Linked DNA regions of Macaca mulatta. The protein of the gene in region 1 binds, or shares a complex with, the protein of each later gene. Links are inferred from orthologs where the notes say so. Each region holds a gene or a part of one and is shown in the gene's direction. Other genes may lie near its edges.

Region 1 (4,040 bases):
TCCCTGGTCCCCAGGCGAGTCCAGGTAAAGAAGAACAAGAAGAGTAAAGAGAGATGCTGCGGGTTCCAGCTTCCTGGACAATCTCGCCTTCCCCATGGGAGCCTGCACTTTCAGAGTCTGCTGCATGGGAGCCTGCAAGCTCCTGCCTGTCCTGTAAGTCTCAGGCTTCTACCCAGACCAGGGGAAATTGTACTCTCTCTCCTGACACTTTAAATGGAAGTTTAGAGGCTCATCATGCCCCAAACAATGCTTACTGAAACAGCAAACCCTCAGACAAGGTGATGCACGCTGCCGCACTGGCTCCCAGGACAACCTCCCACCACGGGCTTCTCCGTCTCTACCGCTTGCACCTTCCTAAGGTGTCCCTTTCTCAGGGCCCATCCTACCCGCCCTGGAAGTGCTGCCTTTCTCACGGAGCCTGTGGGGATAGCTCTGGTTAATTTATAGCCCACATCGCCCAATTTAGCATTTGATTAAGTTTCCTTTTTATGAGACAGTCCTTTCTCCCTAGTGATGCGCTTGGGGGCAGAGACAACATCATTTCTTTCTTTTGTACCTCCCCAGAGTAACAGTGACTCTATTTCCTGAACCAAAAATTGTAACACGTGGTAACTGCCGGGACAAGTGTGGACCACAGGCACCTCTGAGGCCCGGGTGGGCGTGCCCCAGCAGCTGCTGCAGGGCGGTGCAGCCACCTTCTCCTAGGCTGCTCTGGGGCCCGGCGACGAATGAGTGAATGAGTAAATGAATGAATGTGTGAATGAAGCATGCTGCGCAGACTTTCCCGCGGCCCTGGCCGCTGGGGGCGCGCCTCTGGCCGGTGGCCGGAGGTGGAGGTTTCCCTGGTCGGGCTTCGGGGCGCCAGGTCGGCCAGGCCGGCCGGAGGTGCACAGGAGCCCCGCGCCCAGCTCCCCCGCCCGCAATGGTACGCGCCACTCCGCGCTCCCGGAGCTGGCGGACTCGAGGGCGTCGTGAATGGAAGGCGCCGACGCCGGAAGTGGATGAGACCACTAGGGAGGACGACGGGGGGCAAGAACGCGCCGCATCTCCATTGAAGAACCGACGAGGTGAACATGGAGTTCCATGTGCGTCTTATGTAAAAAGAGCGACGGGCACCGCTACCAATGGGCGCGCGGCGCTAGTGGGCCCCGCCCCACGTGTATGCAGATGAGACGGTGTCGCGGCCAATGGCGGACGCCGGGGGCGGGCGCGGCGCGCGCGGTCACGTTTTCCACTATGTGACAGCGGCGACTCGGCCGCGGCGGAGGCGGCGGCGCTGAGGGGCTACGTGCAGCTGTGGGCGGTGGTGGCGGCGGCGGCAGCGGGCGCGGGTCCGGGCGGACAGAGCCACGAGTCGGCGGAGGGACCGGCGGACGGGCCGACGCGAACGCGGCCGGGCGGTAAGTGGCGCGGCGCGGCCCCGCTGCGGCTTACGTAACCGCCGCCCGCGCGTTGGCCTCGGGCAGGTCGGGGTCCCGGCGCCGCCGGGAGTTCCCTGGGCCGCTGGACTCCTCTGCTTGAAACGGCGCCGGCGTGGGGGCGTGTGCCGTTGGCCCTGTCTCAGGTGGAGGGCGGCCGAGCTGCGCGCAGGGTGCGCTCGTTTGAATTGCGCTGACACCGCGGGTTGGGGACTCGAACCCCCGTTTCGCAGCTCAGGAGCCTGAGGTCCGAAAGGTGAGGCGGCAGCGTGTGTAGGGCACCGAGTTGCTGAGTGACTGCGCGTGGGCTGCGGTTCCGTGGGCGATTCTCTTTTGGGAACCCTCCCTCCCCTCCCCTGGGGAAGGCCAAGGAAATCAGGGGTCAGCGCAGCCGGCCCTGGGATCTGGAGGTCCCTCGGGGAGCTGACTGCCTCCTCTGAGGCCACAGGGCCAAGTCCTGGGCTGGGGAAGGGCTGTGGAAGGGCGCTGATCTAGGAGCTTTTCCTGGACACCCACGGGTCTCCTGGAATAGGTGATCAGAGGGACAAGGAAGTCCCTGTGCCAAGCCAGGCCTGGGAACCTGAGGGCAGGGAGACCGCCTGATGTTCGCCCCTTTGCCTCCCCTGGACCACCCTGTATTAATACCCTCTCCCCGGACTGGATAGAAAGGAATGGGGGTGTCCACTCTTTGGTGCAGCAGTCGCACCTACCTTCTGGGATGTACTTTGGCTGCCAAGTCCCAGACATAGACCAGGAGGTGGGAGGTGGCCTGCTTCCCCCTTCAGGAAGGCCAGGGTAAGGGATGACGAGTTGGTTGCCAGGGTTTCTGTAACCTACACAGAAGGAACCCGTTTGGAAAGCTGATTCATACAGAACAGAGCCAGAAGGCACCCTGAAATCACCCAGAGTAACCCCTCAGCCTGACAGATGAGCAAACTGAGGCCCAGGCCCAGGCTGTCTGCAGGATCTTCCCATCGCCCTGGGGCAGGATGAGCTTCAGAGGTTCAGTGAAGGCCTCAACTTGGGTGCTGAATCCTGGGTGGGCTGTAATTTGGGAGGAGGGGCCTTAAGTCCGGGAAATGTGTTAAGAACCCCACACCATGGCCAGAGCCCCCCTGGACCCCTCTCACTTTTATATGGCACAGCAGGATCACTAGACTTCTTGGCTTCCAAGGGGAGATGCCAACTTCTACCCCGACCTGGGGCTTCTGGTCCCAGACTGGGTGTGCCTGAGAAGAAAATAGGACTCTACCTGAAGGCTTTATTTGGAAATTGAGTTTTAAAATACAAGGTGAATTGAGTTTTGTGTGCTATATGACTATAATGAAGAAAGGGACTCCGTTGTTTTTTTTAAGTGGAAGCTGTGTGGTGTGCCAGCGCGGGGATGGTACCGTGGGTGTTTGCAGTTATCTGTCACTGTCGCCTTGGTGTGATTCATTGGTATAGAACTAACGCAGCCCTGGCTTTCTGTGGAGACTGGAGTGCCAGGTGGGAAGGGGGAGCCCTGCGTCAGCCAGCTGGCTGCTGCTGGGAGCCTTGGCTCCCAGTCTGGGCCTCAGTTTCATTTGTTCGGAGGGACTCAGATTGGGCAGTCTCAGAGGTCTAATTTAATTCCCAGGTTTTTGATTTTCTGTTACCCTACAGTTGATTTTTCCCAGGTTTCTCGCAGGAGACAGAGGCTTCTGATATGCTCTTGCCTTTGGGCCAGGTAATGTTCCCCTGTGAGCCACATCTGCAGTGCTTACAAGGAACAAGGAAAGATTCCTCTCCTGTGCACTATTTCTCATACACACTGAACTTTCTCAAAAATACTGGTCGTCACACTGCTGTTTTTAAGCCATGATGTAACTTCACCAGGACTCAGCAAACCACGGCTCTGTCAGGTCATTGAACAGCTGGCAGGGCCACTTGGCGTTTAGTCAGAAGAAAGACAGGCTCTGGGTGTGCTTTTACCTTTTGAAAACTACTCTGGCAGAGTGAGCCAGAAACACACAATTCCATAAGCTTGGCAGAGACTGTCCCCACACTTCTGGAAAGCTGACCAACCTTCAGAACCAAGGGAGAATCAGACAGTCTAGAGGGGGCCTCTGATGGGCCCCTCCCCAAGCCCAGGCACTCTCCCCTAGGGACCAGGCCCTCCTTTCAACTCATTATGCTCATCGTGTACACATTTGTAACAAGTTTGTTACCATATTTCCAAGTCTAGAGCACATTAGAAGCAGTAAATGAACAGCAGTGACGGGTGACAGGAGTCAAGGCCACTTGGTTTTCAGAGGCTGGTAGTTCCCAAGACAGAGTGGGCTGCTGTGCTGATCCCTCACCGGCCTCGAAGGGTTCCTCGTGCTCTTCCTGGGGTGACATAGAGGAATCAGAATCTGCTCTTTAAGAAACCAGGTGCAGGAGGAGCAGATGCCTCAGCTTCCCGCAATTCAGAGTAGCTCAGCCGCTGACACTTTTGCCTTTCTTATTGCTGTAAAGTCTTGTAGTTCTAAAAATGTAAGGATTTAAAAGTCTGAATTGAGAGCATTAAAGGTGTCCTGGTGAGGCCAAGACAATGCCTCCCTGGTGCACCTCCTTCCCTCCATATTTGGACGGCTGCGGTCACATTTTCCGCAGTTACCC
Region 2 (3,515 bases), on another chromosome or scaffold:
TCATGACTCAACTGAGGCAGGAGGGCTGGATCCACCACCTGGCCCGGCACGCCGTGGCCTGCTTCCTGACCCGCGGGGACCTCTGGGTCAGCTGGGAGAGCGGGGTCCGGGTGAGTGCTCTCTCAGCGAAAAGCTGGCCTATACCCTCTGGTCAGGACCAGCAAAGGGCAGCCCCCTTCTGGGCTGAGGGATGGGGTGGGATTTCTGGGTCCAGGAGATCCCCTCCAGATCCTCTGTGGCTTGCCTTCAGCAGAAGGGCTCTGGCTCCTGGGGGCACTGTGGTGACTTGGGAAAAAACATGGCAGCAGATCCCCAAGGAGGCTGATCATCCTCTCCCCTATCTAGGTATTTGATGAGCTGCTCCTGGATGCAGATTTCAGCGTGAACGCAGGCAGCTGGATGTGGCTGTCCTGCAGTGCTTTCTTCCAGCAGTTCTTCCACTGCTACTGCCCTGTGGGCTTCGGCCGTCGTACGGACCCCAGTGGAGACTACATCAGGTGAGGATGCAGACCACGCTCTCTGGCTTCTGACCACTGTGGTCTCCTACTAGGATGGGATACCCAGGGCCCTTTGAAGGAGGGTCTAGGTATGCTGATGGGTCATCTGGTGTGTCTTATTTCAGGCGATACCTGCCAAAATTGAAAGGGTTCCCCTCTCGATACATCTATGAACCCTGGAATGCCCCAGAGTCAATTCAGAAGGCAGCCAAGTGCATCATTGGTGTGGACTACCCACGGCCCATCGTCAACCATGCCGAGACCAGCCGGCTGAACATTGAACGAATGAAGCAGATTTACCAGCAGCTCTCGCGTTACCGGGGACTCTGTAAGGACACAAACACCTAGCTCACTGAAGGGAAGGACAGCACCTGCAGGCTCGGGGGTGCCAGATGGGGATGGCCAGATACTTGCAAAGGGAGGCTGAGTGCTGTCTTTCAGGTTGACACCTTCTCTGGGTATGGGACACTGCAGGCTGGGATGGACTGGGCCTCCCTGAGTAGTTGTGGGGCAGTGAGAAGAAATGGAACCTCAGTGTCTTGCTCCTATCCTCCCCACCCCAGCTTGCTTCATCCTTCCCTGTAACCCCCTGCAATCCTGCGGGATGGCACTCTGATTACTCCCCGCCTCTCTCCCAGGTCTACTGGCATCGGTCCCTTCCTGTGTGGAAGACCTCAGTCACCCTGTGGCAGAGCCCAGCTCGAGCCAGGCTGGGAGCGTGAACAGTGCAGGTGAGCAGCAGCAGCCCACCTCCAATGGCCTCCTGTGGCCTGTGCCAGCACTTCAGTCATTCAGGACTGAGGCCAGAAGGAGGCCTTGCCCAATGGAGCTTATATTCCACCCAGGGCAGTCAGATAGTAAAGGAACCAAGTCGGATCATTTCAGATAACCAGTGCTTTGGAGGAAAAGAAAGTCAAGCGCCTTGACAGAGGGACTGGGAAAGAAAAGTTTCTTCTGTGTCACTTGAGATTGGAGTAGTCGGGGAACACCTCTGTAAGCAGAGACCCACGTCATGAGCAGTAGCCAGGCCTGCCACACACTGAGAAAATACCATTCCAGACAGAAGGAGTAGCAAGAAAAAGCTCATAAGCAGTACCAAGCTTAGCCCATTCAAGGAACCGAAGGGAGGTCAGTGTGGCGGCATGTCCCAGTGAGGAGCTGGGGAAATGAGGACAAGATACAGCATGAGCAGCATGTGGCAGGCCCGATGTCCAAGACGAGGACTAGGATTCAGCCTTCAGTGCACTGAAGGATGGTCAGTAGGGCAGGGCATCATTGGACTTAGGTCTGAAAAAACTCCCTGGCCTGCTGGGTAGAGATTGGACAGTGTAGGCCAGAGCGGGCATAGGGAGGCCAAAGAGGAGGCAGCACAGACAGGGTGGTGGCCACACAGAGAAAGACTGGACAGATTTGCTGCATTTGGAGCCGCCTCCCTTCTTGGGGATGAAGATGAGTAACATGAGATGGCACGAACACGGGTTTTTCTAGTTGGGCCAGCTAGGCTGCCTCCATGGGCAGCATGCCTCCTTCTCAGGGGCCCTGCTCTTTGCTGCTCAGGGAGGCTGATTCAGAGTTGCAGAGGGAATGCCTCACCTTCAAAGCAAGGACAGCAGGCAGGCCAAGTCAGTCTCTGGCCCATAGCCCATGCCATTTGGGGCCCAAAAGCTGGCCCTGCTACCAGCAGGCCTGCTCGGTCATGTTCTCCTTGCACATTTCCAGGCAAAGTCACTGCTGAAAGCAAGGCCGAGGGGCAAGTCTGAGGAGCAGCATGCTGGCATTCCATTGATGAGTGTGCTACCTGTCCCCTAAAGACCGCTGCTGCATAGTGTGGGGTCAGTTTGGCTGCATGCACAGTCTGTGTGACCCTTTGACACGCTTCCCTACAGGCCCAAGACCACTACCCAGTGGCCCAGCATCCCCCAAACGCAAGCTGGAAGCAGCTGAGGAACCACCTGGTGAAGAACTCAGCAAACGGGCCAAGGTGGCAGAGTTGCCAACCCCAGAGCTGCCAAGCAAGGATGCCTGAGAGTGAGTGACAGCAGTCTAGATTCAACCTCAGGAAGGAAGGTGGGAGCGGGGGTGCCTACTGCCCTGCCAGCTGAAGGTTAAAACATAACAAACTAGATGAAAATCTGGTGGGAACACCCAATGCTCAGCCACTAAAGCTTTACCATTTTACAGTGGCAGCCGGGTTCAATCCTGGCTTAGGGAATAAGTACTTTCTGGATCATATCCGTGTGACCCTTACCATTGGGCCTGCTGTGGTGGCTCGTGCTAGGATTACTAGCACCTTGGGAGGCCAAAGTGGGAGGATCGCTTGAGGCCAGGAGTTCAAGACCAACCTGGCCAAACCAACATAGTGAGACTCCATCTCTAAAAACAATAATAATAACAATCTGGTGGGACTGCATGACTTTTAGGATTTCAGCTCAAAAATCCCACCATTCTGACTTTTATCAGAGATTTAAAAGTCAAGCCCTTTTCTGTTTTTTTTTTTTTGTTTTTTTTTTTTTTGCTAGCTAAGGGAAAAAGGGAGGCATGGGGGTGAGGGGTGGCACTTTCTACCTATTAAAGTGAGTCATGCTCAACAAAAAGAAAGCTGAGACCTGTGTGTGAAGCAGTGGGGAAAAGGCCCATTGCAGGGTCTGAGGCTGCTCCAGGCCCCCTGCTCTCCGACAGGCTGTGTTCTGTAGGCCAGCCAGTGGAGGGCAGCACTGACCTTGAGAAGCCTGGACAGAGGGCTGTGCTGTGTCTCACTCGGTCCAGCCCTGCCTGAGGACCAGTAGACGCAATCTGTCATCATCTTTGCTTTTACGGCCTCTCCTCCCTTCTCACCCGTCCTGTGGCCTCAGCTCTGCACCTCCCTGGCAGCGCTTATCTTGGAAGCCTCCCGAATGTCGTCAAAACACTGGCTTCTCCTTTCCCAGAGCAGGAAGGGCCTTTTATGCCCCTCTTGGGGAAATGTAATTTCCTGTCCCCTCTGAGTCATCGTCTCAGGCTGTTCCTTATGCACCGTGT

Evidence for each region.
Region 2: the proteins of PER2 (region 1) and CRY2 are in contact, whole or in part, in a crystal structure (PDB 4U8H), measured with the Mus musculus proteins. The link is inferred for Macaca mulatta from reciprocal best matches to the Homo sapiens genes PER2 and CRY2. Residues at the interface, in NP_035196.2 of Mus musculus: Tyr1132, Leu1134, Gln1135, Asp1136, Pro1137, Trp1139, Leu1140, Met1142, Ala1143, Asn1144, Thr1145, Ile1149, Met1150, Met1151, Thr1152, Tyr1153, Gln1154, Leu1155, Arg1158, Asp1159, Leu1160, Val1163, Leu1164, Asp1167, Gln1168, Lys1170, Leu1171, Leu1174, Gln1175, Ser1177; in NP_034093.1 of Mus musculus: Trp58, Ser63, Ser64, Val65, Lys163, Leu166, Thr167, Lys169, Arg170, Glu215, Leu216, Gly217, Phe218, Asn330, Pro331, Ile332, Cys333, Ile334, Gln335, Ile336, Pro337, Asp339, Asn341, Pro342, Glu343, Leu345, Ala346, Lys347, Ala349, Glu350.

Annotation. Positions count from the first base shown.
Region 1 is NC_133417.1:143,533,697-143,537,736, reverse strand, and holds the start of PER2 (period circadian protein homolog 2), read left to right. Parts: upstream 1-1,236; 5' UTR 1,237-1,674; intron 1,675-4,040. UniProt on the Homo sapiens protein: Transcriptional repressor which forms a core component of the circadian clock.
Region 2 is NC_133419.1:19,745,877-19,749,391, reverse strand, and holds part of CRY2 (cryptochrome-2), read left to right. Parts: coding exon 1-110; intron 111-345; coding exon 346-497; intron 498-622; coding exon 623-825; intron 826-1,135; coding exon 1,136-1,262; intron 1,263-2,351; coding exon 2,352-2,523; 3' UTR 2,524-2,525; intron 2,526-3,515. UniProt on the Homo sapiens protein: Transcriptional repressor which forms a core component of the circadian clock.